Canis lupus familiaris: one gene and its partners. The protein of the gene in region 4 interacts with the protein of the main gene of each other region in a pairwise test. Links are inferred from orthologs where the notes say so. Each region holds a gene or a part of one and is shown on either strand. Other genes may lie near its edges.

Region 1 (7,557 bases), on a different chromosome or scaffold from region 4:
CTCCCAGTCATAATGTCTGCAGAAATCCAGGCAGGGAGGACACCCCACTTCAGGGGGAGAGGCATGACCACTGGGATTTGGTGCCACTGGGCCAGGTCCCAGGGAGGTCCCTCTGGGATCCCTCAGCCCTGCCTCACTGAACAGACATTGGACCTCCTCTGGACGGCCGTGGGCAGGCCAACATCTGACCGGAGAAGCTGGTGTGTGGGATGGGATGCCTGGCAGTGGGGACAGGGCCTCAGCTGTGCGGGGAAGGCAGGCCTGCTATGTCTCCCCCCGTCTCTGACCGACACCCCCAGCTCCAGCCACCTCACTACTGCTCCCTGTCTGAAGGGTCTGTGTGCCTTACCCAGATTCCTGTTGCCCCCTCCACACCCCCAGGCCTACAGACATGTCCCCTCCCCATCCCCCAGTGTCTCTCTGAGCCCCAGCTGGACCCCTGCTCCCCACACCCCTGTGCAGCTACCCTGAGACTCTCGGGGCTTCCCTGGAATCCTCTGCTCCCCCTGGACCAGGCCTCATCTGTTCTTCTGAAGAGCCAGCACAGAGCTGGGTAGAGGAGCCCTGTTTATTCTCCAACCTCCCGAAGCACCCCAGGGAAGCCCAAGTTCACAGGGCAGGGACCCAGGAGACCCCTGTCTCAAAGTCCTCCAGTGATAGGACAGCACGGACTCTCTCCAGGTACATCCCCTGCCCCCACGAGGTCTTTCTCTGGCCCCTGTCAGCCTCACCACTGTCTCCAAACAGCAGCCACAGGCGTCCCTTGAGAGGACAAGTTCATCCCAGCTCTTGATGTCTGAAGCTGCCAAAGGCTCCCACCCCCAGCTGAAGACCCCAATCCCTCGGTGGCCTCCATGGCCTCCTCCTGGCTCCCCTCCCTGCCCCTGCCCTTCCTTCTGGCTGACATGCCAGCGGCAGCTCCGACTCTCCTGCCAGCACCTTCCCTCTGCTCGCCCCACAAGCAGTTCTTGGAGAATCCTCCCAGGAGTCCTGCACCATCCACTTGTCCAGCACCTGCTCTTCTGTCCACGCTCCTGTCACTGGGTCACTAGGTGGCGGTCTAGGTGTTCCACTCACCTCCAGGCCCCACCGCAGGCGGTCCAGGAAGGCTTCTCAGCACTTTGCCCCTGGGCTCCTGCCCCACTGCTCCTGCGCTCAGTGGCACGTCCAGGGGAGCCCCAACCCTGGTCCAGTTGTCACAGCCAGAGGGCCTCCCAGCCCAGCCGTAGGTACCCTTACAGCTCAGGGCCTGCCCAGCAGGGGCAGGCATGGGGAGGCGGCTACACTTTTGGTGTTGGAGCCACCCCAGGTTTTGCTGCAAGGGAACAGACAAGCTCTGCATATGTGTGTTCCTGGCTGAGCTTCAGGAGATGGGGATGGACACACACACACACACACACACACTCACTCTCTCTCACTCCTGCAGAAAGGAGCCTTGCTTCTCCACCCTGTGAACTTCCTGCTAGTTCCATGGCCGTTCCATGGAACTAGCACACAGCATGTGGGCACACGGCATGTGGGCACCCATTACCCTGCAACAGGTTTTCTGCAGGACAGGTCAAGTCTGATCCACGTTCCTGTTTTCAACACAACTGATCCATTCTCAAAATTCAGCGACTATAAGGCCTTTACTTGACCATCATGAAGAAATGCTACAATGCTCCCATGCTCTCACAAAGCATGCAGGCCTTTTGAAAGTGCCACCTGCCCTAAGACTACATTTTTTATGAGAAACACAAAGCAAGGCCACCCGGTGACCTCTGTTCCTATCTAAGCACATGCACAGAACACACGCTGTTTCCTACCCTTGTGTCATAGGTCTCTGGCCAAGCACTTCTGTGTCCAGGCCTCGGTCTGCCCTGTGCTGGATAAGGGCCCAGAGCTAACCCAGGCCAAGCTAACGCATCTTTAGCATCGGCTTCCAGCAAATTTACTGCTTTCTTGGTCTTCAGAGCCCAACACCAACCGGCTGCCCCTCAGTAGCCAGGCCAGTGTCAATACTGCGGGGAGGCGGCCTGTGGGCAGGATGGTCTCCAGGCCTCAGCAGCTCTGGAGAGCAGACCAACCTGGGGAAATGTGCTCTCTGGACGGCTACAGCTCTGTGAACACAGCGGGTACAGAGGTTGCCTGGGCCAGAGGGAGGCAGCAGCAGGCTTGCTGGCGCTCTGGGAAGGTGGCTCCTGGGCAGTCACTGGGCTGGCCAGCTCAAGGTCTGGGCAGTACCATCACTGCTAGGTCTGTGACAGCTAATGAGAACACCAGTGCCATAACTTACACACACACACACACACGCACGCACGCAGCGGCGGAACATGGAAGGAGCAGACTTTGGTCCTCCCACCTACCCGCTGTGCCACGGCCATGTCTGGCTGTATGGGGCCCCTTGGGCACCTACCCAGCACCCAAGCCAGCTCTGTGGCCCCTAAGGGTGCTCTGGGCACTGCTTACATGTACAACCAGAACACAGGTTGGAAAATAAGGCCTGCTGTGCCTTTACCTCCCTCATTTTGTTCTGTCTTTAGAAGCAGGAGCATCTCCCACTGGTGCTGAGGCTACACCAACTGCCAGGCAGGCTTGCACTGTCACTGTCACCGTCACACGAGGGGCATTCCCTGGCCGTGCAGGAACAGGAGGGACCCAAGTGCAGCTGCTGGTGTGTCAGACACATCCCTCCTCTGCCCTCACCCCAGGGCCACAGGTGTGACGTGACCTCAGAGATGCATCTCGAAATCCATGAAAGCATTCAAGTCCACGCTTAGGGCTCTGAGTTTGCAGACAAAGATCTAGAACTCCCCTAACTGGCAGCACAGGCAGAGAAGTCAGAGCAAGACCCCAAATCAGAATGGCTGAGCCCCAGCACACACCTTCATGCCTCTTACCCACACTTGATTAAAAACACAAAGTTGCCGGACTTCTTGATGTCTTACAGTATGTTCTCAGAGTGCCCGGATGGTACACAGTTGTCACGTCTCACAGGCTCTCATGTCACAGTAAGGCAGAAATCCCAATCTCCCCAGAGTAAAAACAAAACAAAACACCCCACCCTAACAATTCATTAAATTGCCCAGAAAATATCAATGTTTCTGTACTTCTTTGTCAATGGTTAGGAAGCCTTTTAAACATTTCCGGATTCCGTCCAAGGGTGGTGCAAACATGCGCTGTTTGGTTAGTATGAGAGGCAACCGGTGATGTACGGGAATGGAGCAGGCAACCAGCAGTCTCGTGGCTGCTCAGGCCCTAAGGACACTGAGGGGCAAGCTCGTTCCCACACGGCATTCCCATGCGCTCCCGGGCGCAGAAAGGCTGGCATTCCAGCCATGCCTCGCCCGGCCCCGGAGGTGTAGGTGTCACATTCGCTGCACCCTGCATGAAGCTAACCCCGGCAAGTCCAAAGCCACATGGGTCAGATGAATGGCAGCCACAAATCAGAGCTTCACACAGACCAACGGGGGAGAGAAACTGAGAGAGGAATGAGCAGCTGGGGAAGGGGCAGGAAGCCACTGGGTACGTACCTCCTAACGCAGAACAAGCAGGGACAGCCCGTCACAGAACAGAAAGGTGGGAGCCACAGGCAGAAGGAAAACAAGAAGGCACATTTAAACCACTCATCAAAAATCAGCCACACCAAACCAAGAGAAAGGCACGCAGGTTCTCGCAGTAAATGCACCTGCCTCTGGTACAGAAAACTGCTTGGGTCTATCTGGATGCTAAGTGAGCAGTTTTCTCGGACGCTCGTGCAGCCCGGGCGTTACTCTCCTGCCGTGGACACTGACAAGATGGCCTCGTTCGGACAGGGCAGGGCTCAAAGCAGCAGCCATCAAGTCTGGGGCGTGCGGCCGGCTACCGTGGGCGGACTCGGCCCAACAGCCCTTGCTTCTAGCGGTTCTGCCTTTGGTCGGGGGCCTTGGGGGCCGAGGGCTGGGGGCTCCGAGCGCGGGGCCCACCTGCTGGCCGCCACTCACCCAGCTTCAGGAGCCAGCCCTCACGGTCAGGGTTGAAGAACGTGTGTGTCAGGTCATTGCCATCATCCTCGGGGATCTTAAACGGCTCGTTCTTGATACTCTCGTATAAGTTCTGCGAGGAGCACGGGGACAATGGTCTCAGGGATGCAGCCGGGGGCCAGGGGTGGGGAGGGCCCAGTCAGCACTGTGTCCCCGAGGGCGCCAGGCTCAGCGGGACCAGGGCCACGAGGTGCCTGAAGGTTAAGGGGCGGCGGTGGCAGCTCCTGAGGGGCGAGGGCCAGTTCCGTGGAAGAGGGAAGCTCACCCGCAGCAGCTCCTCCGGGAGATCCCCTCCCTCATTGATGCCACGGTTCATGGTGACGAAGCGCTCAGCCGTGGGCTTGTCCCGCACATTGTGGTTGTGGAGGCTGGTGTTGAGCATGATGATGGCAAACGACAGCACATAGCAGGTGTCTGAAAGAGGACAGAGGGAGCCGGGGCGCTCAGCCGCCTGCCCGGCCAGAGGCACCCCCTCCACCCGGCAGAGGCGCACAGTGCTGGGGCCCAACCCTCACCGACCTGTGGACTGGAAAACGCCCGGGTTGCACAGGCAATAGCGGGACGCAAACGCCTCCATCATGCGGTCGATCTTCTGAGCCTCCCCCGGAAGTCGAAAGCTCCACAAGAACTGCCTGCGAAGACACCAACACCAGGGGATGATGGTGTCTCTCCCTCTAGAGGACCCCCAACCAGGGAATGCTCCAGGCAGCCCCTGGATGGCAGAGGGAGGCACTGGGGGCAGAGCCCCAGGACCCGCAGGAGCAACGTGGCGGCCGCCACTTGCTGCCCTCAACTGTCCACCCAGGGACAGCCGGCACCACCCGCAGGAGCACGTCGGGGACCCCTGGCTCCATCCAGAGACTGACCAGCTAAAAGAAAGGGAACCCTGGCTGCCATGACCACACCCCAGACTCGCCAGGCCTGTGTCTCTGTGTTGCAGAGTTGTCAGCACCTCCTTCAGCCCAGGCCAGCTGAGGCACCGAAGAGGACAAATGGCAGACAGCAAAGCCACCCCCAGCTCTGTGCAACTTGCGGAAGCCGTATGGGGACAAGGGCCAAGAGCAGGACAGAAACATGGTCAGTCACACACTTTGCAGCCACAGAGCAGGAAGTAGTCGCAATGGAGACTGCATGGCCCTGGCTTGGGGGACAGCCATCGGAGCCTCAGCTGGGACACCAGGAAGGAAACCGGATCCTCTTGGTGGTGCAGGAAGAGCAGAGTGTACAGGACGATGCCTCGAGTGGACATCCAGAGGGATGACCTGGCACCTCTACCATGGTGGCCGGCAAAACCTCAGGGCCACACAAGGGCCATCCTCTTGCATTCACCCCTATGACATGTAATGATGGCTGGCTTTGCCTGGACAAGGCAGGGACTAGAGGGCAGCCTCTGACAGCAGGCCGTCCACACGCTCCCCACCCACGCTGGGGCGTCCACGAGGCAGGCATCTGAGATCAGATGCCCCAGGAAGCAGACCCATGCCTAGGCCGCCCCAAGACTCTGCTGCAGCAGTGGGAAGAAAGTATGCACTGACTACTGAGTACCAACTGAGATGAGGGAGAAGCAAAGGAGTGGGGAACGGCACGCACACCCAGCGGTCCCACCAAGGCGAGCACAAGCTCGGTCCGTGAACGCCTACCCAGACCCTTGGGCAACACCCTCTCCTCTGGGGGTGAGCCCCGGCCTCCTGCTCCAGCACCTCCCCGCTAACAGCCGAGACTCTGACACTTACCTTAAGGCTTGGACAAGGTTCAGATCAGCAAACTCATGGAGTTCGACAAACGCCTGGAGAACTTTAATATTAAAGTCGTCCCTGGGAAAGAAAGCAAACACAGTCCAAGTCCACTGCACAGAATTTCTCAATCATCTCAAAAGAAAGATATTTCCTACATCCAGCAGGTGCTTGTGGTTTTCCATTTTGCCTAACTGGAAGTTAAGATGTATTGCATTGCAAGTTCGTTCTCAGACTTGAGGCTATTAACACCCCTATCTGCTTCCACTTTCCTTTCATCCTTTGCCCTAACACCTTCTAAAATATGACAGAAATGGTTTTCACATTTATTATTCTTATTACATACTGCCTATATCATGCCAGCAGAATATGGCTCGAGTGGATGAATCCATCTTTTCTTTTTTAACACCACAACCCATGTGCCTAAAACAGAGCCTGGCATGGACTCAGAACTTAGTATTTTTGTGGAACTCAAAACCTGCAGACACTCAGTACTTCTAGCAACAGGAACTGCCAGACTTCGTATTACACAAATGTCATAGTTCATCTCATGCACTTGCCACCAAACGATGGAGAATTCAGACTCTAGACCTCATGGCACAGACGATTAAATGAAGTGCTGCAACCCCTGGGCCACTGTTCAGGTTTTCTGTGGGTTTGTTTTTAGCAGCTTTGTCCGAACATAATTCACATCCCATGCAATTGTCCTATTTCAAGCATACTTTTCAATGGCTTTTAATATATTCACAGATGTGTACAACTGTTACCATTATCAATTTCTGAAGACTTTCATTACCCCAATCCCAAGCACTTTCATTTCACCTGTCTCAAGCACTTCACGTAAAGGGAGGAACACAACACATGGTCTTCTGCAACTGGCTTCTTCTATTATCTCCCTGTTTTCATCCACGTGGTAGCATGTACCAGCACTCTGTTTCTCCTTTTACCAATTAATATTCCATAGTATGGATGTACCACATCTTATTTATCCACCAGTTGAGGGACATCTAAGTTGATGGACATTTGAACTGCTTTCACTTTTTGGCTAACAAGAATAATGTGGCTACAAACATTGGTCCGGGTTCGTGCAGATGTATGTTTTTACTTATCTTGGGTGTATACCTAGGAGTAGAATTACTGGGTCACGTGGGGACATTAGTATTTTGAAGAGCTGCCAACTACTTCTCACAGCTACTGCATCGCTTATCCTACAAGCAGTGTGTAAGAGGTCTGATTTTTTCACATCCTTGGCACTGCTTATTATCTTTTTATTATGATTACAGACATCCCAGTGGGTGTGAAATGGCAGCTCACTATGGTTTTGATCTGTAGCTCCCTGATGGGGGCTAAGGATGCTGAACATCCTGTCGTGTGCTTATGGCCTTATCATATATTTACACATCTTCTTTGGAGAAATGTCCATTCAGATGTTTTTCATTTGTAATTGTCTTGTTACTGAGTTGTAAGAGTTCTTTATATATTCTAGATAGCAGTCCTTCTCAGACTTATACATGACTTGGAAAGATTTCTATTTTGTAGATTGCCTCTTCACCTTCTTGATGACATCCTTTGAAACACAAGTTTTCAATTTTTTTTTTTAATATATATTTTTTTAATTTTTATTTATTATTTGTGATAGTCAGAGAGAGAGAGAGAGAATGAGGCAGAGACACAGGCAGAGGGAGAAGCAGGCTCCATGCACCGGGAGCCTGACGTGGGATTCGATCCCGGGTCTCCAGGATCGCACCCTGGGCCAAAGGCAGACGCCAAACCGCTGCGCCACCCAGGGATCCCCAAGTTTTCAATTTTGATGATGTCCAATT
Region 2 (6,926 bases), about 64 Mb from region 4:
GAAAGGAGGGGTCCAAGGCTGCGAGTGGTTAAATAATTAATAAGATTACCAACAGTGTGTTAATTACAAATAACGAGAGAGGAGCTAGAGGTGGTGAATTTTCCAAACAGAGAACCAGGATCCGCAGCCCCAGGGCCCAGGGGTCCGGCCACCCGGGTGGGGCAGCTCCGTAATAAATAATGGGGTTGGGGGCGGGGGTCAGGGCTGCTCCTGCTTCTTCTTGACAGAAATCCGTTTCTTCCTTGCCGCCAGCATCTCATAGAAGGGGTCCACACTCACAGCTGCCCTGCAGAAGGGGAGGGTCCAGGGTGAGGGCCAAGGAGCCCAGCTCCCCACGCCCTCTGCTCCCACCCAAGGACCCCGGAGCCCAGGCTCACTGGATCGACTTGATCCACTCCTCCTTCTCCTCCTGTGTCGGGGCCGAGATCCGGTACACCATGTGGTTCCCTTCAACCACCCGGCCGTCGGCCTCTGTTTTACAGGCTTTGATGAGCTGCCCCTTGTTGTTGGGGATATAAAGCTCAAAGCAATTCTGGGGAGACATGAGAACAGAGCGATGGCAGGTCAGAGCTGGCCCTGGGCCCAGAGGAGGTGCCACCATGGCAGGAAGGGGCACAGAGAGGGTCTTACCGGTTTTCGGGGGTCATCCACTTCTCGGATGCTCAGATTCTCCAGGGGGATAATTCCTCGGGGTTCCTTGTCCTGAAGGAACAAGGTGGACAAGACTCAGACTTTCCAGTCCTTGCTCAGCTCCTCCTCCCCAACCCCAGCAGTGCCTGTGGTTCAAGTCACTGGTTGTGGTACTTTGTCACAGCAGCGCTAGTGGACTGGTATAGCCCTCCTCCCTCAGACCCCAGAGCCTGACCCCCAGCCCCTCCTCCCAGCACCCCAGAGAGAAGCCCAGCTCTGCCCTCACCGTAGTGTACTCGAAATAGTAGAGGCAGTTGTCAGTGAGGATAAACCAGCGCCGCTTCCACGTCTTCACCCGGCCCCCTGAAAGGGAAGGGGTGGGAGGGGGCCTGGGCTCAACAGGGGGGACAGGGCCTCCGGGAGGCAGGGAGGGGACTGAGAGGCAGAGTGAGCGCAGGGAAGGCGGGGCTGGCAGGGCCTGGGATGAAGAAATGCGGGGGAAGAGAGACAAGCAGGGACAGGCCTTCAGGCCCCCCCCCCCCAGGATCCCGCCCACCCCCAACGTGGGGCTCCGCACTTTCTAAGCCTGCCTGTCTGCCCAGAGCCTGGGAGTCCGAGTCCCGAGTGCCCAGCCCCCTCCTATGGCCCAGGGCCATGGCAGCCCCTGGCAGCCCCTCCCGTGTCAGGTCGGTGTCAGGTCAGGTCGGCAGCGTACCTACCTCCTGGGGCAGACAGCGAGAAAGCAGGCAGGACCAGGCGAGGAGAGGGGAAGGCAGAGAATGGGGTGCCCCCCAAAGCCGCAGGCAACAGAAAGAGGGCGGGCCAGGGAAAGAAAGCACAGGGGGGTGGGAAAGAGAGAGGGCAGAGAGGAAGACGCAGGGAAGGAGAGAGGGAAGGGGAGGGGGGAAGAGAAGGAAGAAAACGAGTTACATCGACATGACCCTCTCCCTCCTGGGGAGGCTGAAGATCCTGAGCCCCCCCAACACCTCCTGGTGTCGCTGCTTGGTGCCTCCCCACCCCCGGGACAGGTCCTCAGCCGGCTGGGAAGGCCCTCCACTGCCAGAGGGAAGAGATCTCACCCCCAGAAGGTCATCCCAAAGGGAAGAGGACAAAACCCCCGGTGCTTGGCCTGAGGTGGCTGTGGGGACCCATGTGAGCTCCAGGACAAACTGGCTGTGTGACCTCAGGGCCACCTCTTGCCCTCTCTGGGCTCCAGTCTCCAGACCCACTTGCACCCATACCTTCCCACCTCAAGACGACCTGCCTCTAGGTTCCTTGTGGTCCCCAAGGGACTAGACAGTAACAGTTAAGAACGGCTTTCATTAAGCATCTTGGTGAACACAGCCCCCCCCCCTCCTTTGATCCAGTTCAACATGTGCTACACTCTGGTCAGAGATCTGGGCCCCAAGCCACCCCTGCCCTGTAGCTGCTGGACAGTGACCAAGCCTTAAAGTCCTCATCTGGGAAATGGGAAGCATTCCTGTGGGTGGGAAAGGTCTACAGGGGAATTAGCTCCTGGGAAGCTGCCCTGCCAGAGTTCCTCTTTCCCACCCTCTTGGCTAGGGGCACCTCCTGGCCTCCAGAGAAATCTGACTCTGGACTCATCTGGCCCCCACCCCTGGGGCTGATGCAGGAATCTGGCCACTCGCTGTGGGCTAGAAAGAGCAGTTTACACTTTTACCAGGACATCTATGCACCCAGTCAGGGCCCTGCTTGCTGCTGGGGAAGCCAGGTCTTGGCTCAAGAGCAAAATTCCACGGTGCAGGGAACACAGCCCTGCCTGCCCCGCCCCTCCAATCCCTGCACTGGGCCCTCCCGCTGCTCCAGCAGCCTCCACTGTCTGCTCCTGGCTGTTATTCCTCCTCAGCTTCCCTGTGTCTCCGGAGCAGCCATCCGCTACCTCTTCACTAAAGAGCCACAGCTAGCACTCCCCTGGTACCCACCATCCCCAGGCATGGCTCCCAGCCAGCTGCTCGCAACCTTGGCTCTGCCCTGGAAGGCAGCTAGAGGGCTTTCAACATGATTGGCACCCATCCTGCCCCAGAAATCCTGGCTTTGAGTCTGCGGCTTGGCCGCTGGGCTTTTAAGAGTTCCCAGGTGAATCTCCCATGAAGCCACAAGTGGGCACAACTCCAATCCTCAGGTAACCCCATGGAAAGGGGCACCTGCTTGACACCCCCCCTGCTAACAATGTATCCTGAATTGGCTGGCACCCCGTGTTTCCTGGGGGATGGGCCCCATCCCACGCATTCCAGCCCTGTTGGGAACTTTACATTCAATAAGCAGAGCCTGGCATTTATTCGGTGCTCTCCAATGCCTACCTTATAGCCACACATATTTATGGGGCCCCTCCTCTATGCCTGTGCTGGGGCCCAGCACACAGGCCTCATCTTGTTTTCAGGCCCATTTTGAGGATTTGGAAACAAAGCTCAGAGAGGTCAAATCATGGGCCTAAGATCACATAGCAAATGCGCATGAAAGCCAGGTCCTGAGCCTGGGCCCCCTAAAGTCCCCCTGCAGAGGCAGCCAGCAGGTTCAGGAGGGGACGTACCCAGCTTAAGGAGCCAGCCCTCCCGATCCGGGTTGAAGAAGGTGTGGGTCAGGTCATTGCCGTCATCCTCGGGAATCTTGAAGGGTTCATTTCGGATGCTGTCATAGAGGTTCTGAGGGGCGAAGGTGCAGTCAGCAACACCAGGCCCCAGGGACCCTCCCAGGGCTACCTGGCCATGGAGGAGGGGGGAGGCGGTGGGACCACTGGTGGAGTGGCCCGGGGAAGAGGAGGGGAGGAGGCAGATGGGTGGAAGGAGGCCTGGGGAGCAGAGAGAGAAGACAAAGAAAAGAGGCAGAGCTGCAGCAGTCTGCAAAGCTCAAGAGACAGAAAAGACAGAGAGATGGAGACTGAGGTTGGCCTGGGAGGGAGGAAGGGAAAAGGAAACGGACAGGTTGGCATGATCACCCCGGACAGCTCAGGCACCAGGAGGCCCAACATGGAGGAGGGCCCACCCAGGGTAGGAAGAGGGATGGCACTGGGGGGTGGCAGGGAAGGGGAAGGGGGTGGTGCCTGACCCTGAGCAGCTCCTCTGGCAGGTCCCCACCCTCGTTGATGCCCCGGTTCATGGCCACGAAGCGCTCCAGGCCCGGCTTGTCCCGGACGTTGGGATTGTGAAGGCTGGTGTTCAGCATGATCACGGCGAAGGACAGCACGTAGCACGTGTCTGCACCAGACAGTCAGGTGGTGACGACACAGGTCAGTGGGCCCCCCGGCCCGCCTGCCCAGACCCCAGAAGTCTGGGTCGCCCACCTGTGGACTGGAAGACCCCAGGGTTGCACAGGCAGTATCGCTGGGCAAAGGCTTCCATCATCCGGTCAATCTTCTGGGCCTCTCCGGGGAGGCGAAAGCTCCAGAGAAATTGCCTGGGTTAGAGGGGGAGCCGGGTGTGGGTGCCAGGACTGGCAGAAACCTCTCCCCGCTCTCGTTCCCCGTGTCAGGAAGCAGTAACAGCCTTGTGGCCTCAGCAGCTGTCTCAGGTATGGATCCAAGCTGCCCCATGAGTACTGGCTGTAAGCCTTTTGAGGGATTTATACAGGAAAAAAAGCCTTTCTTTCTGCTAAGGTTGCTAGAAAGGTCTGGTGGTCACCAAGGGCTTCTGTTGCCATGTGAGAAGAGGGTCTACAGAGAGCAATGCCAACACAGTGGCAAGGACAACCCAAAGATAGAGAAAAATCGACCTTCAGACACCATTTGAGCACCTGGATACAGGTGTGCCTGAAGGAGGCCCTACTGTGGACTTTTACCTTACATGAAAAGCTCGATTCCCTAATTTTTTTTTTTTCCTGAGTAGGGTTTCATCATCTGTAAAGAAAGCCCTGACAGGTACATTCCTGCCCTTTAACCCTATCCCTCTCACCTGAGGGCCTGCACCAGATTGAGGTCAGTAAACTCATGCAGATCCACAAAGGCATGGAGCACTGCCAAGTTCAGCTCTTCCCTGGGAGGACAGAGACAGAGTCATGCACAGGAAGGAGGCTGGAGTGGGAGTGGACAGGAAGCAAACACTGGGGAGTCTCGGCCACCGCTTCTGCATAGTGGCTGCCACTGGAGCAGGCGAGATGTTAGCCTGGCCCCAGCACAGGCCTGGCTCCAGGACAGGAATGCTCAGAACACGCTCTTGGGAAGACCATCTGCTGCAAGATCATCCCTGGTTTAGCTGAACCTTTGTAGTTAAGAGGAATACAGCAGATGTGTCCCACCTACTATCACCTCTCTGATGGTCCCCGGGTTCTGCAGATGTCCAGAAATGGTCCCCACACCTGCCAGGCTGTCCCCATGCATCCCAGATGCTCCTGAAACAATCCCCATATGCCCCAGATGTCCAGAGGGCCCCCAAACATCTCTGGATATCCATACAATCCCCATAATCCCAACCATCTGATAGTCCTTATACTTGCCAGGTGTCCAGAAAGTTCTATACATTCCCTGATGTCCACACAATTCCTAAGCAACCCAGACATCCAGACGGTCCTGTGTCCCTCAGATGTTCATATCAGCCCAGATGTCCACAAATCCCTAGGCACCCATATCCACAGACCTCGTACCCCAGGTGTCCACAGGTGCCCATGCTCTCTAGCTGTCCACGTAACTCCAATGCACATCAGTTGTCTACACAATTCTCATGCTCCCACAAGACTCACAGATGTTCTCCACTGTCCCCAGACATAAATGGATGGTCCTCAACTTTTCAGGCATCCGCCGGAGATTCCCATGCCCCCAAGATGAGCACAGACAGCCCCAGGCTTCCACTGACCCCTCCATCACTCCCCTGTCACAATCCAGCCAGAGGGCAGGTCTATTAGGGCCTCTCTCAGGAGAGAAAGCTGGTGGCCTAAGGGCAGGAGTTGGGCAGGGACGCCTGGCTGGCTCAGTGGGTGCTTCCTACCTTTGGCTCAGGGCGTGATCCCAGATTTCTGGGATCAAGTCCCACATCGGGCTCCTTGCATGGAACCTGCTTTTCCTCCCTCTACCTGTGTCTCAGCCTCTCTTTCTGTGGCTCTCGTGAATAAATAAAATCTTAAAAAAAAAAAAAAAAAAAAAAAAGGAGCTGGGCACAGGGGATGACAGGGAGCTGGGCAGGGTCTCACCTCTCCCCCAGGTAGTCCCCGATGGCGGTCTTGTTCAGGCCCTCACCCTTGTACAGAAAGCGGGCGATTTCTTCGGGTGTGTTCTGCAGAAGCTCATTCTCCACCAAGAACTGGATCCCCTGGTGGGTGGGGACCAGGTCTCAGCCTCAACAGCCAGAAAGCCACGCCCCACCGCCTCCCCAAGGACCTCAGCATCCACCCCCAGCCTGGACAGAACTGGGTCAAGTCTTGTTTTGGGGCTTCACAGCGGTCCCTAAATACCATCCCTTCCGCCTCAGAGCCTTCACACCTACTGTTCCCTCTGCCTTTGCCTGGTTAGTCCAGCAGCAAGGGCAGAGTCCCACAAGGAATAGGAGCCCAGTGAGTTTGCTGAATGTGTGACAAACTACAACTGCTTTGGGCTTCAAGAATACCGTGAGACACTGTTAGTAGGCAGCAGCATGTCACGGGCTGTGAGGGCCAAGCCTCAGGATGGATGGGGCCTTCTTGGCTCACCCTGGGCCAGGAGAGCTACACCTAACTCTGGAGTGTGGCAGCCATGTCTAAGGGCTCATCAAAGGCAAGGTAGGGCCAGCTCTTGTCCTGGGTCTCCAGCCCTGCCTAGTACACGGGCAAGCTCGAGGGAGGCCACAGAGAATGTGTGAAATGAATGACCTAGTAAACAAACATCTCTCTGCACCAGGTGGACACTGACTCGTCCTTCAAACCGGACCTGAACATCCTCTCCTCGAGAAAGCCCTAACTTTACGAAGCTCCCCCATGAAGGTCCACAGCCCTGGGATCTCTGTGAAGTGGCACTGGTCAACCCTCCTTTGGGCATGTCATGGTCCATGTTCCCTACCACACTCGAGCTACTCCTGAGACTCTAGGTGGCACCACAAGAGGGTCCAGAAATATGAACAGAAAGGGGAAGGGAGCCTCCCAGGCAGAGGACACAGGACACACAAAGGTCAGGAGGCGGGGACACCTCCGTTAGTGTTCAGAAAACAAATGGACTGCCAATATCTGAATCCCGGAATTAGAGCCACATGTGTCCACCTCAAGTAGATCTAGAACCTGAAAGTGCCAGAAGCCCCTGTCTGGATGTCTGCCTGGCCGATCCCAGCCCTGTGACCCAAGCACCTTCTTGGGATCCATGTTGAACTTCTTCCTGCCCA
Region 3 (7,557 bases), on a different chromosome or scaffold from region 4:
TTCACACCGCAAGGCAGGAGGCGTGAGGCCAGCCTGCACACGGGCCTTGGCGGGAGGGAAGGACACGAGGCGGCCGTGCCCCGCCCCCCCGGGCAGCGGCGGCCCCTTCCTGTCTGGCCCCCGCCCCAGCGCACCCACAGCGGTCCAGGTCAGGGCCAGTTTTGAGGCAGAAAAAGCTGAAGACCTAAGGTGATAAGACCTGCTCCTTCCTCTAAAACGAGGACTGTAGCTCTGGGGGAGGAGGAGGAACCGAGCAGGAAACCGTCCCGAGCCTCGGCTGGGACTGCCTGCCTCACAGTTTTGGTTACTGGGTATTTAAGCTCAAGGGAAAATGCTGACTTTGCGTCTTAAAGCCCGACAAGAAGGAACTCGGAAAGAGAAAGGACAGTGCGAGTGTCCAGCGGTTCTCCTCTGGCCTCGGCGCCCCCAGCGCGTGGAGCGGAGAGCCGGAGCGGCCTGCCCGCCTGTGCCCGCCTGTGCCCGCCGTGCCCGCGCCTCTCCCGCGGCCCGGCCGGCCCTCCAGCTGCTGGGAAGGCGGCTCCCGCCAGCGGCCCGGGGGCGGGTGGGGGGACCCCAGCGGCTGCCCAGAGAGCCCCCACCCCGGACCAGGCAGGATGCCTCTGAACGGCTCTACTTTATCTTTTTCTCTCTTTAAAAAACAAAAATATATCTTTATAGTACGTGGCTTCTCTTCCATTCCACTTCTTTCTTAACATAGAGTAATAATATATCGATACATGTATTTATGGTGCAGGGTTGAAGGCTTCTTCACAGGGAAATAACCAAGAGGTAAACAGTCGGCTTCGGGCTCTGCTATCAGACCTGCTGAGCGAGAGACTTGCAGGAAGGAGGCTGATGTGCTGACAGGGGCTCTGATCTTTTTAGAGAGAGAGGCTCGCCTGACGGGCGTCAGATCCCTCTCCCCGGTGCTAACTGCCTACCCTTCTCCCACTTAAAAATGAATAGCAAAGCTGAAGCCAGTCTCTAGGAATTCAGGGTGACGCCCAGCAGGTGACAGCCCTGCTCGGCAGCCCGCCCCCCGTCCATGGGGGGGACGGAGAAGGAACCCAGGGCCTCTCACGCCTTGCACGCTGGCACCGCTCGCTGTGCAGACTCAGTGTCTTTTCGTGGAGGAGACCTTCTTCTTCCGCGCCGCTAGCATCTCGTAGAAAGGGTCCCTGCTGATGGCTGCTCTGGACACAGAGGAGAGAACAAACAGGCTGAGGAACAGGCCCGGAGGGCTTGCACCCCCACCCCCCTCGACTGTCACTGCAAAGGCCAAGTCAGTGGCGCCAACGGTCACCGTGTCCTCACAATGACTTAAGGGACAAGCTCTGGAAGAGACACATGGTCCGTGTGCCAAGACAGTTCTGCACTATTTACTGCCTGTTTCTACCTAACCATGGGGTGGGTTTACGAACAGAGTGTTACAGACTCTAATATTCCGGCCCAGAAAGACAAACGTGGGACCTCAGTTCTACGTGACTGCGAGCGCCACACGATCCGTGGCCCGTGGTGGTCTGGCACGTGCTGCTCAATGGCCGCCCCACTCTGGACTACACAGCTTCTGAGTCCCGCACACACCGACCGACTCGATAACCAAGACCACAGGTGGGCAGTCCGCAGTGTCACGGGGCCCTTAGGGGGCGGCCGGCCAGGCTCGGCGGGGAGGGAGCCTGCGTGTGCCCGGGCACTGCCCCAGAGACCCCAGCGCAGGACGGTGACAGCAAGGCCACCCTGGTGCACTCGTCAATCCCAACTGTCCAGCACGTTGTGCCGCGGGTGCTCAAGGGCTTTTCCAGAGCTGCTACACTCTAAGTGCCCACGAGTCTCCACGCTTGCCCACGAGCCCAGCTGCCCACTGGCTCTGCACCCGACCAGGTAGACGACAGGGGTCTGTTCACCAGAGATGACGCGTCCCCAAGTGCATCTGCACAGCTCCTTGGGGCAGCAAGAATCCACAGTCCCTGGCATGTGTCCCAAGGGGACCTTGTCACAAAGGCCTCAGTTGAGTGTCAAGAGCCAGGGGCGCCGAAGCCGACGGCTGCCTGGCGGTCAGGAGTGCGGCTTCTTGAGTCACAGGCTCAGGTCTGAAGACCAGCACCATCTCTGTGGCTCTGGACAATTTTATTCACTGTGTTGTGCCTCAGTGTCCTCACCTGTAAAATGGGGACGACCGTGCTTCCCCAGCTGCGGCGAAGAGTGAGGAGACGGTACCCGGAGGGCATGTGCACGGTGTGCGAATCCTGCACCACCGGCCAGGTGGTGCTGGGGCCCAGCCAGGAACTGAGCTTCCCAGGGAGGGCCTGTGTGTGCCCTCCCACCCTCACTAAAGGACGGAACGATTCCAAACGTGTCTATAAAGAGGGCTCAGCGTTTCTGGGCGTAGGAGTACAGGCCACGGAACAGAGTAGGAGCGGCTGTGCACTGCCAGTGGGCCGCTCCAGTGATCACACAACGGGGCACACGGGACACAGAGGGTAACCCATGCACACACAAGAGCTTGAGGCAACTGCAGAGCGTGCTTCAATGAAAATGAAATGATAAAACAATTACTATCTCCACTGCGCTGCCATCCTGACCACGAGGCCGAGGAGCCCTCTGGGAAGCCTAGACTCGAGCTGCTGTCTTGGCCAAGCACCCAAGGACCCACTGACAGACAGTCTGGGACTCCAGTCAGACTCTCCCCTGAAGATCTAACCCAGGAGCCCAGGCGAGGGACGGGCGGCACGCTGGGCAGCAGACGTGTGCGAGGAGAGAGCCCTCGTCCGGTGAAAGCACCGCGACGCCTCAGATCACCTACTTGATGCACTTAATCCACTCCTCCTTCTCTTCGGGCGTCGGGGCCGAGATCCGGTACACGGTGTGGTTTCCTTCCACCACCCGCCCGTCAGCCTCCGTCTTGCAGGCCTTGATGACTTGGTCTTTGTTGTCAGGGATGTAAAGCTCAAAGCAGTTCTGAGAATCAGAAAAGAGAGGAAGACAAAGACCTGAGAAAGCTACTGATCAAGACCAAAAAATGTTTATTTCTCAAAAGACCCTTCGTTCTGACTCCCGTGAAACACAGGCAACGTGTGCTTTCCTACGGCGAAGAGGAGCCCAGCAGTGAACGCCGGAGAATGTCGGCTGCCTGCCCGTCAGCCCGGCTAGCGAAGACACCAGGCACACACGTCCGCTGCGCTCCCAACAGACCAGCAACGCGGCGAACAGCGGTAGGTACGCAGGTGCCTTCGAGAGCCCGGCCCGTAGCGCCGGCACATTCCAGGTACCGGGGGCGTCGGGAGGGCGCCCGGTTGTGGGCGCTTCCTGCTGCCTTTTAAGGAAGGACAATCCCACCGCTCGTGGACAGGCCACAGGGACGCAGAGGCAGGGGGGCAGAGGTCAGCCATAGCCTCGTCTCTGGCCCGAACGTGAAGGTGACTTTGAGTTGGGCTGAATCAGGGGCACGACGCTCCTTTTCAGTTTTAGGTAAATCTTTGCACTTTCAGCCTTGTTTTAAGAACTGCTACCTTCTCTTTTGGCCCCCCACCCCCACCCCTACCCCGTCCCCCAGGAGATACTCACTGGTTTTTTGGAGTCCTCCACCTCCCGGATACTCAGATTCTCTAAAGGTATAATTCCACGGGGCTCCTTATCCTGTAGAACAGTGGCAGACACAGAGACCTCACGCTGGGTCATGAGCTCGCGTGCCCCCACGTCCCTCACTCACAAGTTGCCGGGGCTCTGCTCTTCTCCCATAACCTCGGGCTCACAAATCAGCTCTGGGGCCCACACCCTACATTCTAAAATCAGGAACGGGCCAGGAAGCGTGTGGGTATAGGAGTCCCTGCGCCCGGCGGCCTCTGCGGGGTGAGTGCCCAGGGGAGGCTCAGCACGTGTCTGGGAAGAGCCCACGGGAGGCCCTCCAGCAGGGAGCACGCCAGCCTCTCACAGAAACCACGTGGCTCCTCCGCCCGGCTCCTGCACACACGCCTTCACCTTCTGTTCCAGTGTCGGCAACCCCAGAAAGCCCTGGTCTTGCTCTAGGTGCCCGGCTCGCTGCCTCGAACGCCGGAGACAGTTTAGTGCGTTTATGTACACTCACAACCCCCTGCCCTAGCTTTCCCCTCGCCAGACCGTAGGATCTTCAAAGAGAAACTGCCTCCCTGACGACTCCAGGTAGGTCTGCAAAGGCACCTCCAGGCCTGTCCAGAGCAGAGCCAGGACACCCCTGCCAGGCCCCTGCCCCCGGGGGCCCTCTCAACAAAGGCCACCACGCACATGCACTCCGCACCCGCCGGACAGCTAACGCCAACCTTCCCACTCCCTCTCCTGGGCATCCGGCCACCCCGCAGCCCACGACTTCACTCCAAGTTCACCACGGTAGCTGGACTAAGCCTTGGCACCAAGCTCCCTACGACAAATGCTCCTGAGACACTGTGCACTCCCCATTTGCAGATTCAGGTTCCTTTCCCTTTTGGGGGGATAATCTTGGAACAGATGGGATCTGTGTATGCGCGGGTGCCGACGCTCCAGCATTGGGGTCACCTTTCCTGTCCTCCTAACTGCTTACCTCTTCCCTGTCTTCACACTCATCTTTTCCAGACACAATCTGTGACTGTCTCCAATCTTTCTTCTGTAATGGTGATTTTATTCTCGGCTAGTCTGTTCCACTCCTTATAGTTTTTACCTAACTTCTAGATCTGTGATTACACAGATCACCTGTTCTTCAGCCTGCACCTTGCGGGGGGTGGGGGGTGGCCAGCTTGTGTTCTGGCCCCTTCCACAGTCACGACAGAACCGTGAGCAGAGGGCAGGCCCATCTGACACCTGCCGCGCTCCAGCTCTTCTCTGGCACCGCCGCTGTCCTGCTTGGGGGTGGCGACGCCGCTCACGGGCACACTCCCTGTGACAGAGCTCCCACTGAGCTCCCAGCCCAGGGCACACACCAACGTTGCAGGAAGTGAGGCCCATCTTCTCACTTTCCTATTTCACCAATTCCTACCCAGCTGCAGACTTTATTGCTCGCCGATCGGAAGAGGGAAGAAGCCCTACTGTTTGCTTCTCCTGGACTCAGGGCAAGGGGGAGGCAGCGGGGCTGTGTGGGGAAAGGTCCCTCCGCCCAGCCCCCAGGCCACTGCCTCTGCCCCTGCTCTTGGTCCCTGAGCTGTACTGAAGCAGCTGTCAGTCCTTCCCCTAGATTCCCTGTACCATGTTGGGTGATTCTGTGTGGACGTTCTCCCTACCACCTTAACTCTGAGGCCCCCCACCCCCGTGTCTGCAGAAACACACTCCCTGATGTCCTGTGGCCTCATGGAACGCCGGCCGGCACGCTGCTGGATGGAGTGTGGGATCAGGCAATGCCACCACAGTTGGCATCACGAGGAGCCACAGCATCCTGCAATCTCGCGGAGCCTGCTCCCGAACTCAGGGCATACTGCTTAGGTGTCTGTGTATGTTTCATTTTAACCCAAAGAATAGTGGGGAAAAACCCAAACAAGACTTTAAAGATACCACTAGTCTAGGTATCTTTGAGAAAAAAGGCCAGCTCTGGGCAGGGCCGGGGGGGTGTTGGGGAGGGGAGGGCAGAAAGGAATGTTCTGAGCTGTTCTCAGCGGTGCTCTGGGGGCGGGAACAACAGGAAACTAACTGGATGTCCTAACGTGTGGCCCTTGGGGGTGACGCCGCATCACAGGCTGATGCCCACTCCCCACAGAGCGTCACAGAGTACAGCCACCTCACCAGGCAGGTGCCAGGGTCCTGGCTCCTACTGAGGCTACATCCCTGACTTTCCTTCATCACTGAGGTCCTACCTTCTTCACTGTCCTGGCAGGATCCGTGACCTTTACTCAGTGAAGACCTGGTTGCAGAACCAGCACCAACTGCCCTGATTTATCTCAAGACACAAGTCCCACACTACCAAGAATGGAGGCGTGACAAGGGATCAAGAGACAGGTGGGCAGCCAGTCTGAGCCCGGCCAGCCAGGCTTTCTGGGCGCCACAGCAGAGGGAGCTTCGAAAAAGGTTTTATTTTCTCATTTTTATTCTCACAGGTTCTTATGAAAGAGACTTGCGTGTAACACAAAGCTGTGCTGTGATTCTGTTCCCACTGAAAACCAACAGAACCTCCACGGTTTGAGAAAACTTCAAACTCCAGTAACTCCCAACTTCCCTCATTTCATTTTACTTCTCTTCTATTCTTTCAACCCCCGGGGCTGCTTCTCCTGCATCCAGAAAATCGGAATTCTCCACATTGTGATTTTCATGCACCTTTCAAGGGCTATAAACCCTTTCTTGGCAACCGACCCAGGCTGGCTGTTCCCAGCCCGGCTCCAAACGCCGCCTCTAACACCCTGTGCCATGCAGGGCTTCCACCTCTGCCCACATCACCTGCAGGGCCCCCCGATTCTGGGACCTCCCCACCCCTGACTGGAGTCCGACAGAAACAGAGGCCTGGCCCCCCCTAGTCCCGCAGCAGACCCAGAGGCTCACCGTCGTATATTCAAAGTAGTAAAGGCAGTTGTCAGTGAGAATAAACCAGCGTCTTTTCCAAGTCTTGACCCTGCCACCTACGGAGCAAAAAGAGATGCGGGTCCGACAGGAGCCAAGCAGACGGGAGCAGGCTCCGTAACATGACCCCCCCCCCCTCAAAAAGCTCGAGGGCGGGGGAAGCGAGGGGCAGGGGTACCAGAACATTGAGACCATGGCAAAGTTTACATCAGTAACAAGACACAGAGCCAAAACAGAAGCACCTTTCACAGAGTGAAAGTCTGTGGGTACAAGCAGAGCAAGCAAGTCAGGTGGCACCTGGAGATGAACTCAGGAGAGTGGGATGAGAGCATGGCTGGGGAGGGAACCCGGGCGATGAGGACACGCGATGTAAATCTGATTGGGCTGGAGATGCGCCCATGGAAGCCCGTCGGTGTGGTGGAAATGGGCCAACAGAAGAAAGAGGGGGAAGAGGGGCTACACTGCTGGGGCACCCTGCCCGGGTACAGGAGGAGGGCTTCATCAGAGGGGGCAGGAGTGAGGAAAGGGGAACTACAATGTGTCAACCCTTCACAATCACATCTACGGCTTTCCTGGGGAGTGGAACCCAAATTCCTACCCCAACCTTCCTGATTATAGTGAAATTCTATACTGGCTTTCAGGCCCCGGGCCAGTGTCCTGCAAATGAAATTTCCCGAGTCCTGGGTGAGACAAGGGGGAGTCCCTGCACCAGGAGGAGCCCACGGTGCACAGAGGCAGCGCTCGGGAGCCTTTCCAAGCCTGGACTCCTCACGTGGAGCTCTGAACACAATGAGCGAGAGGAAGGGGCCGCAGACCAGAGGGACGGTGGCAGCCGTGAGTGCCGAAGGGGCCCCTCCGTCCTCCTCAGCGTCTCAGTGGGAGGACCACGCTGGGGCCGTGAAGCTCTGCTCAGGACAGCACTGGGGAGGGCGGCTCAGCTGCCGGCTGTCTTAGTGAGGCTGCATCCCGCACCCTCCACAGCCCTGAGCTGGACCTGGTCCTGCTCTGCTTACGCCGGGGCAAGGGGCAGCTTCCTGAACCATGCAAAGGCCTCCCCATGTTATGATA
Region 4 (8,354 bases):
AGGAGACCTCTACACATAATGCTGCCCGTTCTGGGGGAGGGCAATGCAGTCAATATGTAGCCACTTCTCTTATCCTTCTAAGGCATTGTTTTGATCTTGGAGGCTTACAGTGCTTCTTTGGCCTCACCCTTGTGCTCTAGGATTCTCTCAGTGGTATCCTGTTCTTGAATAGATGCTACTTGTCCTTTTTGTGAGGAGGAACAAAATAAGAAACAATTTCTGTCACCGTCTTGGTAATGTCACACTAGTCATCCTATTCTTAATAAAGAAGCCTTCCCATGATTATGCATAGCAGTTTAGTTCCTTACGGTCTCTACCTCTCCTGTCTGACAAGGCCTGGGGCACTACTGTTGCAAAATCATAAGGCATGTGAAAGTGATATTTCTCAGTGAAAGAGTTAGCCAGACAAAAGAGGACTTTTGGCTCAACTCCACAGCAATAGGTGCAAACAGCAGGCAGCTTGTGTACTAGTTTTTTGTTGTTGTTTTTGTTTTCCTGGCTTTTTTTTTTTACAGCCAGCAATGGTCCTATGGTAGAGACCACTGCTACCTAGCAGTAGGTAACTGGTGGAAAGTGTTAAGTGGAAGGTCATTCGGGAGAGCTGAATAGGGTGACTGGCTGCCTCGGGACAGTGCACATAGAGTCTGGATTTTACAAGCAGAGAAAGATGCTATCTTTCATGGAGAGAAAATATGATCATTATTCTTGTAGAATAAAGAATAATAGAGAAATTTAGGGGTGCAATTTGTTGAAAGGTAAGGGCCATCTCTTGCCATTCTTGTCTGGTTCATCTTAGAGCACTGCATCTGTGCTCACCCTCACAAACTGGGGTGAAATAATCAGGTGTCATTACTTTGGGGCTGCCATTGTAGAGAACCAGGGTGTGATCCTGGGTCAGACTATAGTGGACCTAGTAATTGATATTTTGCCTAGGGGCTCCCAATGTTTTCTTTGGCTTCATCTTAGGCCTCATGGCCCTTTCCCTACTTGATGTAGCATCTTGGTGCTGGTACAAACCTCTGAGGAGGTTCCTTGGGTTTTAATCACAGATACCTTAGATTGGGCCTAAACACACAACTAGAATGACTGTGTTTTTAGAATTCCTGGCTCCTAGAAGTTCTTGGGATCTGTCAATGGCCTAGAAGAAGAGGCAGGTAATCATGTAGATTTAACCTGCATTGTATTAGATTGCTACGGTGTGTGTGTGTGTGTGTGTGTGTGTACAAATATGTTTTGCAGGACCCTTGCCTATATAAAAAATTTGAATAGTCAAAGTTAGCATACTAGCCTAATTCTGGAAGGCCTGTGAGAGCAATCACTTACAAGGCTGACATTATGGAATTTAAGACAATCATGAGAACAGAATCAGCCCCACAGAGATGAGTCTCTTCTAGCATCTAGTCAGTTCTATGAGCTAGGGAAGGGAAAGTGTCTCATTTGGGAGCAATGGACACAGGGTGACATGCCAAGGCCCCATTGGGAGATTGGTAGAGCCCTGCCCACTCACTTGGGCCCTAAAGGCATGTTGGGGTGCAGACCATAATCTTTGAAGTTTTGGGTTCTAGAAGCTCACAGAAGGGCCAGGGACACAAAGGAGTTTCATGCCTCCTGAAGGGGCATGGTCAACAGCCACTTGTATTTGGTGCAGGTTCTTCCAGGAGGTAAAAGAGGCAGATTGTTCAAGATGTCTTGCGGTTTGCCACCTCCTTGTTACTATGGTAAAATGGTCTGTTGGGAGCAGAGATTGACATGATTGGCTGAAAGAGGAGCTTTCCTTGCTTAGATTTGTAGATTTTTCTGTCTAAGTCTTGATTGTCAGGACTGACAGCTTCTGTGGGAATGCAAGAAGGACAAGTGAGGGAGAGGTCTGCCAATCTCTTCAGATGATGTATCACAGTATTTTAGTGGTGTTGAAAATAAAGTAATTTTAATCATCATAGTTTCTGTTTTAAAAAAAGCTGTGGCTCTGAAAACCATCTGTCAGTTCATTCTCAAAGTGGAGAGAGAGCAGAAATGTAGCAAAATGAGTGGAAAAGTTAACAGTAAAAAGGAGAAAATAAATGGAAGGAAAGAAAGAATAAGATTTTCTAAAGCATGCAGGAAATAGATCAGAATCCAGATGATAATAGAGCTTAAATTTAACAGAAAAATGCAGATGCCTGCATGGTGTCCGTTAAGCATGGGACTTGGTTTCAGCTTAGTTGTGATCTCAGGGTCATGAGATTGAGCCCCAGGTTGGGCTCCACACTGAGCGTGGAGTCTGCTTGAGTTCCTTTCTTCCTCTCCTTCTGCTCCCCCACCCTAGAATAGATAAATCTTAAAAAGAAAAAAAAAGAAGAGAAAAGAAAAGAAAAAATGTTTGAAATAATTTGGATAAAGGCATTTTTCCTTTCATGAATTTCAACTTCTTGGATCAAGTAATAACTCCAGACCATCCCCATGCCATACATCACTGTGTTTGTACTCATAGGGGGCTCTTATATTTTGTTTCCTTCTCTCCTGCTCTATCTTAACAAGAGATCTCCTGCTAACTTGCAAAACTAATGGATTTTTTCCATGTCCTTTGCTTTTATATAAGAACAAAGATGGATTTCCTTTCTTGATTCCTATGGTGCTGCTATCACAGACTACCATTTAACAGAAGATGCTTGCTTACGGCTCTCATTGCTGGTTAAGTGTACAGTTTATTGCCACACATATTACATACTTTCTGTGTCTGAGACTTCTGCCTCTAGAGTGACCAGCATTTTCTATTTCCTCTTTAGCTCTAGTTCTTGGATTAAGAATAATGCACATTGTTTGCCCATGTTCATGGACTTTCTATAAGTTTCTTTGCTGCTCTGAGAATGTTTTGTCATATACCAGGCTTGTAATTTTAAAGGATGAGCACATTATGAATTAATATGTTGGTTTTTAAAATTTTAGTTCAGCATTGTCTTGCTCTGTGAAAAAAGAACAAACCTAGGCCATAGTTTATTCTACCTGAGCTATCTTTTAAGCACAATAAATTGTCTTTTTTTAAAAAAAAAGTTTTTTTAAATTTTTATTTTATTTATGGTAAGCACACAGTGAGAGAGAGAGAGAGAGGGAGAGGCAGAGACATAGGCAGAGGGAGAAGCAGGCTCCATGCACCAGGAGCCCGATGTGGGATTCGATCCCGGGTCTCCAGGATGGCGCCCTGGGCCAAAGGCAGGCGCCAAACTGCTGCGCCACCCAGGGATCCCTAAAATAAGTTTTTATTTAAATTTCAGGTAGTTAACATACAATGTAATATTAGTCTCAGGTGTATAGTATAGTGATTCAGCACTTCCATACAACACCCGGTACTCATCTGAATCATTTCCTTTTCAAAAACCTTTAAAACTGGCCATGGTGCTTATTTTGCTGTATTATTCCAAAGATTATAAGGTCTAGAGGGGAGGCAAGTTACTTTTGGATCAGCTGAACCAATAACTGCCTTTAGGAATTTCTTTCTTCGTTCTTTAACAAAAAGTACCAATTATACTAGTAACTGCCTTCTTTATCAATAGAGCGTTGGTTGCATGTTGATATTCTTGGTTTATTCTTCAGTTTTAAAATGATATAAGACCAGAATCCCTATTTCTAACTTAACTAATTTGCTAAACAGTTCTTGAAATATATTGCTAGAATAAACTTATATTTTGTTTGTGCCTGAAACAAAATAGAATGATTCTTCACCAGCATCTAGTGAAGAAAAATGATTCTTCATCAGCTTGGGCTTCTATGCCAAAATACCATAACTGGGTGCCTTGTCCACAACACAAATTGATTTGTCATTGTTCTGGAGGCTGGGAGTTCAAGATCATGGTGCCATCACGGTCGGGTTCTGGTAAGAGCTCTCTTCTGACTTGCAGATTGCCAATTCTTCTTGTCTCTTGGTGTGGTAGAAAGAGAGGGAGCTAGCTCTCTGGCCTCTTTAATGGCCTTAATCCCATTTATGAGAACTCCACTGTCATGACCTAATCAGCATCCAAAGGCCTCACCTCCAAACACATTACATGGGGATTAAATCAAAACCTACGAATTTTGGGAGGGGGAGTGGAGAACACACATAGTCAATCCATAACAATCAGTATATATTAAGGAATTTTTCTTCCTTGAAATTAGCTTTATTATTCATTTGGTAATGAAATGTGTTTTCCACTTTTTAGTTACAGAGCTTATCAGGAATACATTTTATTTCATTTCACAAACTTAAAGTATTTATGACCTCATTGTTTTGGCTGAGTCTCATATGGTGTTGTGTTAAGGAGTTGTTTTTTAAAGAAGTTAATAGTCTCAAATGGGACTGAGAAAACTATTCCCCGAAACCCTTAAACTCTGAAACAAGGCACCCAAAATGTCTCTAGGAGAGTAGGATAGGGAGTTTAATCAACCTTGAAGAGTAAAAGCTATTTTATTTGATGAAACCTGTTATCATACTTGCTCACATCCTTTAGTTGTGTGCTAATTCCATCAGGAAGAATTGTTTTCTATAACAAAGCCATTTCCAGGTAATTACTCCCATTCAAGATAATTGCTACCACTTGGTGAGTATGCATAGGGTCCTGCAAGTTTCTCATGTGATATTTCATTTAATTCTCACAAAATCTCTGAGCTTATTGTTATTATTTCTGTTTAACATATGAGGTGTCTATTTAGGCAAACTAAGTGATTCTAAGAAGTTTCCACATTTAATGAGTGGCAAGGTGAAATGTTTGACCCTAATGCTTATGTGTGTTGTAGTTTTGAAACATGTTATTTTGGTTGTGTACCCAGAAAGTAATTTGGAAGCCCTATATACTCCTTGACACCTTACATTGTCACCTAGTTTTTATTATATGTTTCAATAGTTGCAAAAGATGTCATTTCTGGCACATGATAAATCTTGTTATAAAAGGTTATATTTAAAAATATGTATATTTCTTTTGATATATATTAAAAGAACTATAACCTGTGTGATATAAATAGCAGAGATCTGATATGTCTCACATATATATTTTTTAAAAAGTCATCTTTGGAGTTTTAATTTTACATTGCTGTTTTCTTCTCCACCCCATTCCACCCTCCGGGAACTCATATTTTTATTCTACTATTCCATGGATTTTTATGCAATTATATATATGTTTTAAAATCTTTCATTGATGGTTTTATACATTTCAGCAAAAAATACATATTTAAACTGAAATTGATTTAATTTTTGTGCATGACAAATTCTTTAAGCCATATAAGATTTCATTTGGAGTGGGTTATCACTATAATTATTAGTACATAATTTAACAAATAACATGAATATGATATTTTGACAAAATAATGATTAATACAAGAGGTACATATTTTTATTGAGAATGCATCATTTAATAAAATATATGAGGCTTTCCCCCTAATTATAGAATTGCTTATAGGTGAATATTATTTATTGCTAGAATGAGAGAGAGTTCAGCACCAATTTTGATCCTTTTCTTGGTTTTTATGTATGTGACCTTAGACCTGTTTTACACATAAATAAATAGTTGGGAATGAAGCACTCTTGAACCCCTTCCAACTATATGTCAAATACCTCATGTGATCTATCACAGCAACTACTTTTAATAAATAACAATTAAAATAAATTTTTAAAAATCTTGTTGAAAGCAAAGAATTAGAAACTTCTTGACTCATGAAAGGTATTTGTTGCCTTATCATTAGGTTCTTATACACTTTTAATTCCTGGGTATTATACAAAAATCCTCCATAAAAAAAATCCTTTATCAAGAGATATCAAATAACTATTCCTTCTTCCTTGAACTCTTTTTACTTATGAGCAGCTTGCTTAAACTGATACACTCAGGAAGTGTTGGGAACAAGGCAAAATTATTACTTTCAAAACACCTTTGTCAGCATCATTTTTTTTATGAACTGCTTTTATTGTGTGCTTTATAAATATTTTTATCAAAATCTTGGTGCTACATATTTAGCTTGTCAATATATAGATAACAAGTATGCTGTACCATGGTTAGCTGAGCTGGTTCTCCTTGTCTAAACAATAAGCAAACATATTTATATTAGTATCCATGACCACCATTTCATTTCCTAATTCTTTTGGATTATGGGTCTGTGCTTTTTATGGAAGAGGAGAAGCAACATTTGAGTTTAAATTGTTTTGATGATTCTGCCTCAAATTATCTTTGAAGCTTCTTGGTGAAACTTTTGATTTCATGTATGTTTACTACTTCAAGAAATAATGTACTGAAACTCTAAAATTATTAAGTAAACACTGACACATAGCCTCTACAATGGCTCTGTGCCTAGGTATGCCCCACCCTCTGCTTTATTCTTCCCCAGCTGTACCACTGATTGTGTTTCTACCCATTTTTCTTTGATTCAGAGAAATCTGACATCAACAGTCTCCATATCCTGCAGATTGGGAAGGTGAATTCTAGAGGGATATTCCTGACAGCACCATTCCCCTAAGCAAAACACTTTGGAATTCATAGGATTTGTTTATGGAAACTCCTCTATAGTTTAGTGTTTTTACTAGTTTTTTTTTTTTTTTTTTTTTTTTTTTTTTTTTTTTTTAGATTTTATTTATTCATTCATAAATAAAGAAAGAGATTCAGGGAGAGAGAGGCAGAGACACAAGCAGGCTCCATGCAGAGAGCCTGACGTGGGACTAGATCCAGGGTCTCCAGATCACGCCCTGGGCTGCAGGCGGCGCTAAACCGCTGCGCCACAGGGGCTGCCCTACTAGTTTGTATTTTTAATTTGGTTACTCTACAAATGTCTATTGAATCATCCTGTGTACAAAGATTGGGGAAACAGTAGTAAACAAGTGAACAAGACACAGTGCCTGCCTTCAGGTAAGTTATACTATAGTGGGGAGTCAGATATGAAAGAACTAATTGTAACAATAATAACTCAGTACAGTTATGAGAACTTCTATGAATAAAAGACAATGAACATGCTATGAGAGCATGCAAAAGGAAGTTGATGTCTCATAAGAACTCAGGAAAACTTTCTTGACTAAATGACATTTGGTCTAAGGGCTGAATAAGATGGTAGCTATAAACCATCTTAAGTGGGGGCTGTTGAAGCACAGGCACAAAGCTCTAAGATTGATGAAACATATTTAAAAAATTAAAAAGAAAGCCAATGAATCAAGAAAGAAAGAGACATGGAAATGATCCAAGATGGGGCTGGAAAGGACGCAGTGGCCAGGCAGAAGCTTCCTTGTAGATTTTCATGATACTAGCCTTTATCTCAATGGCCATTGTAGATATTTAAAGAAAGAGAGGAATAGTCAAATGTGCATTGAAAAAACATCACTCTGGGCAGGAAAGCAAGCCAGGACCCCAGTTGGGATGTTTCTGCAATGGTTCAAGAGAGAGGTGCCTTTCACTACAGTGGTTGCAATGGGTGTAGACAGAGTGAACACACCTAAGGGATTGTTAGGAGGGTAAGGGATACGATGTGCACAAGGGAAATATTCCACATGATCAAAGGAAATCTTAATATTAGTGACTGGAGCAGTGTATTGTGAACAAACCCCAATGCTTACTGGAAGAATTAGAGATGAATTTTTTCTTTTTGTCTTCCATCATCCTCTATCAGCTCTTCTTATTTTACATTAGAAAGCTGGCTGAAAAAAAAAAAAGAAAGAAAGCTGGCTGAGCAAAGGGATTAGATTTCCACTAAAATAATAATTCCCACTAATTAATAGATCTATTAATTAAAAAATCATTTTGACAACTCTCGCCTAAGCTGAGTGCTTTACTGGGATAGGCCCTGGGGCATGAAGGAGACTGGGTCTTGGTCTCTACCATTGGTATTCTTATCATCCAACCAGGGAGACCTGACCACAGCATCATGGTTCATGAAATACCATGGCCATTGAGGAGTTAATTATGAACAACATCCTGTGGGAGGCTTTGAGGGAGTGAGGGTGGTACTGCACGGTTAAGAGAGCAGGCTGTGGGGATTCCTGGGTGGCTCAGTGGTTGGGCATCGGCCTTTGGCCAAGGGCATGATCCTGGAGTCCCGGGATCAAGTTCCACATTGGGCTATCTACATGGAGCCTGCTTCTCTCTCTGCCTATGTCTCTACCTCTCTTTGTGTCTCTCATGAATAAATAAATAAAATCTTAAAAGAGAGAGAGAGAGAGAGAGCAGGATGTAGAGTCTGGATTTGAATTTGGAAATACCCAGTTACTAACTTCCTCCTCTATGTTGCCTAAACTATCTCATCTAAAACATGGGAGTAATAACAGTAGATTATTTGTAGGTAGTTCCAACAATCATATGGCACGATACATGAAAATCATCAATTGGCAGAGAATTTAGCAGTGGCTTAAGGAATACAATAGATTCAGCTGTTCT

The links. The genes of interacting proteins can lie anywhere in the genome.
Region 1: the proteins of IPCEF1 (region 4) and CYTH3 interact in binary tests that used the Homo sapiens proteins (3 or more experiments, as listed by UniProt). The link is inferred for Canis lupus familiaris from reciprocal best matches to the Homo sapiens genes IPCEF1 and CYTH3.
Region 2: the proteins of IPCEF1 (region 4) and CYTH2 interact in binary tests that used the Homo sapiens proteins (3 or more experiments, as listed by UniProt). The link is inferred for Canis lupus familiaris from reciprocal best matches to the Homo sapiens genes IPCEF1 and CYTH2.
Region 3: the proteins of IPCEF1 (region 4) and CYTH1 interact in binary tests that used the Homo sapiens proteins (3 or more experiments, as listed by UniProt). The link is inferred for Canis lupus familiaris from reciprocal best matches to the Homo sapiens genes IPCEF1 and CYTH1.

Annotation. Positions count from the first base shown.
Region 1 is NC_049227.1:11,642,308-11,649,864, forward strand, and holds part of CYTH3 (cytohesin-3), read right to left. Parts: intron 5,816-7,557; coding exon 5,735-5,815; intron 4,634-5,734; coding exon 4,521-4,633; intron 4,416-4,520; coding exon 4,267-4,415; intron 4,075-4,266; coding exon 3,963-4,074; coding exon of another isoform or gene 3,962-3,962; intron 1-3,961. UniProt on the Homo sapiens protein: Promotes guanine-nucleotide exchange on ARF1 and ARF6. Promotes the activation of ARF factors through replacement of GDP with GTP. Plays a role in the epithelial polarization.
Region 2 is NC_049222.1:108,468,818-108,475,743, forward strand, and holds the end of CYTH2 (cytohesin-2), read right to left. Parts: coding exon 6,892-6,926; intron 5,889-6,891; coding exon 5,770-5,888; intron 4,620-5,769; coding exon 4,539-4,619; intron 4,045-4,538; coding exon 3,932-4,044; intron 3,846-3,931; coding exon 3,697-3,845; intron 3,294-3,696; coding exon 3,181-3,293; intron 996-3,180; coding exon 917-995; intron 703-916; coding exon 631-702; intron 533-630; coding exon 378-532; intron 287-377; coding exon 199-286; 3' UTR 20-198; downstream 1-19. UniProt on the Homo sapiens protein: Acts as a guanine-nucleotide exchange factor (GEF). Promotes guanine-nucleotide exchange on ARF1, ARF3 and ARF6. Activates ARF factors through replacement of GDP with GTP.
Region 3 is NC_049230.1:3,548,937-3,556,493, reverse strand, and holds part of CYTH1 (cytohesin-1), read right to left. Parts: intron 6,551-7,557; coding exon of another isoform or gene 6,549-6,550; coding exon 6,472-6,548; intron 3,637-6,471; coding exon 3,565-3,636; intron 2,959-3,564; coding exon 2,804-2,958; intron 1,194-2,803; coding exon 1,115-1,193; 3' UTR 1-1,114. UniProt on the Homo sapiens protein: Promotes guanine-nucleotide exchange on ARF1, ARF5 and ARF6. Promotes the activation of ARF factors through replacement of GDP with GTP.
Region 4 is NC_049222.1:44,638,853-44,647,206, reverse strand, and holds the start of IPCEF1 (interactor protein for cytohesin exchange factors 1), read left to right. Parts: upstream 1-3,686; 5' UTR 3,687-3,687; coding exon 3,688-3,850; intron 3,851-7,537; exon of another isoform or gene 7,538-7,618; intron 7,619-8,354. UniProt on the Homo sapiens protein: Enhances the promotion of guanine-nucleotide exchange by PSCD2 on ARF6 in a concentration-dependent manner.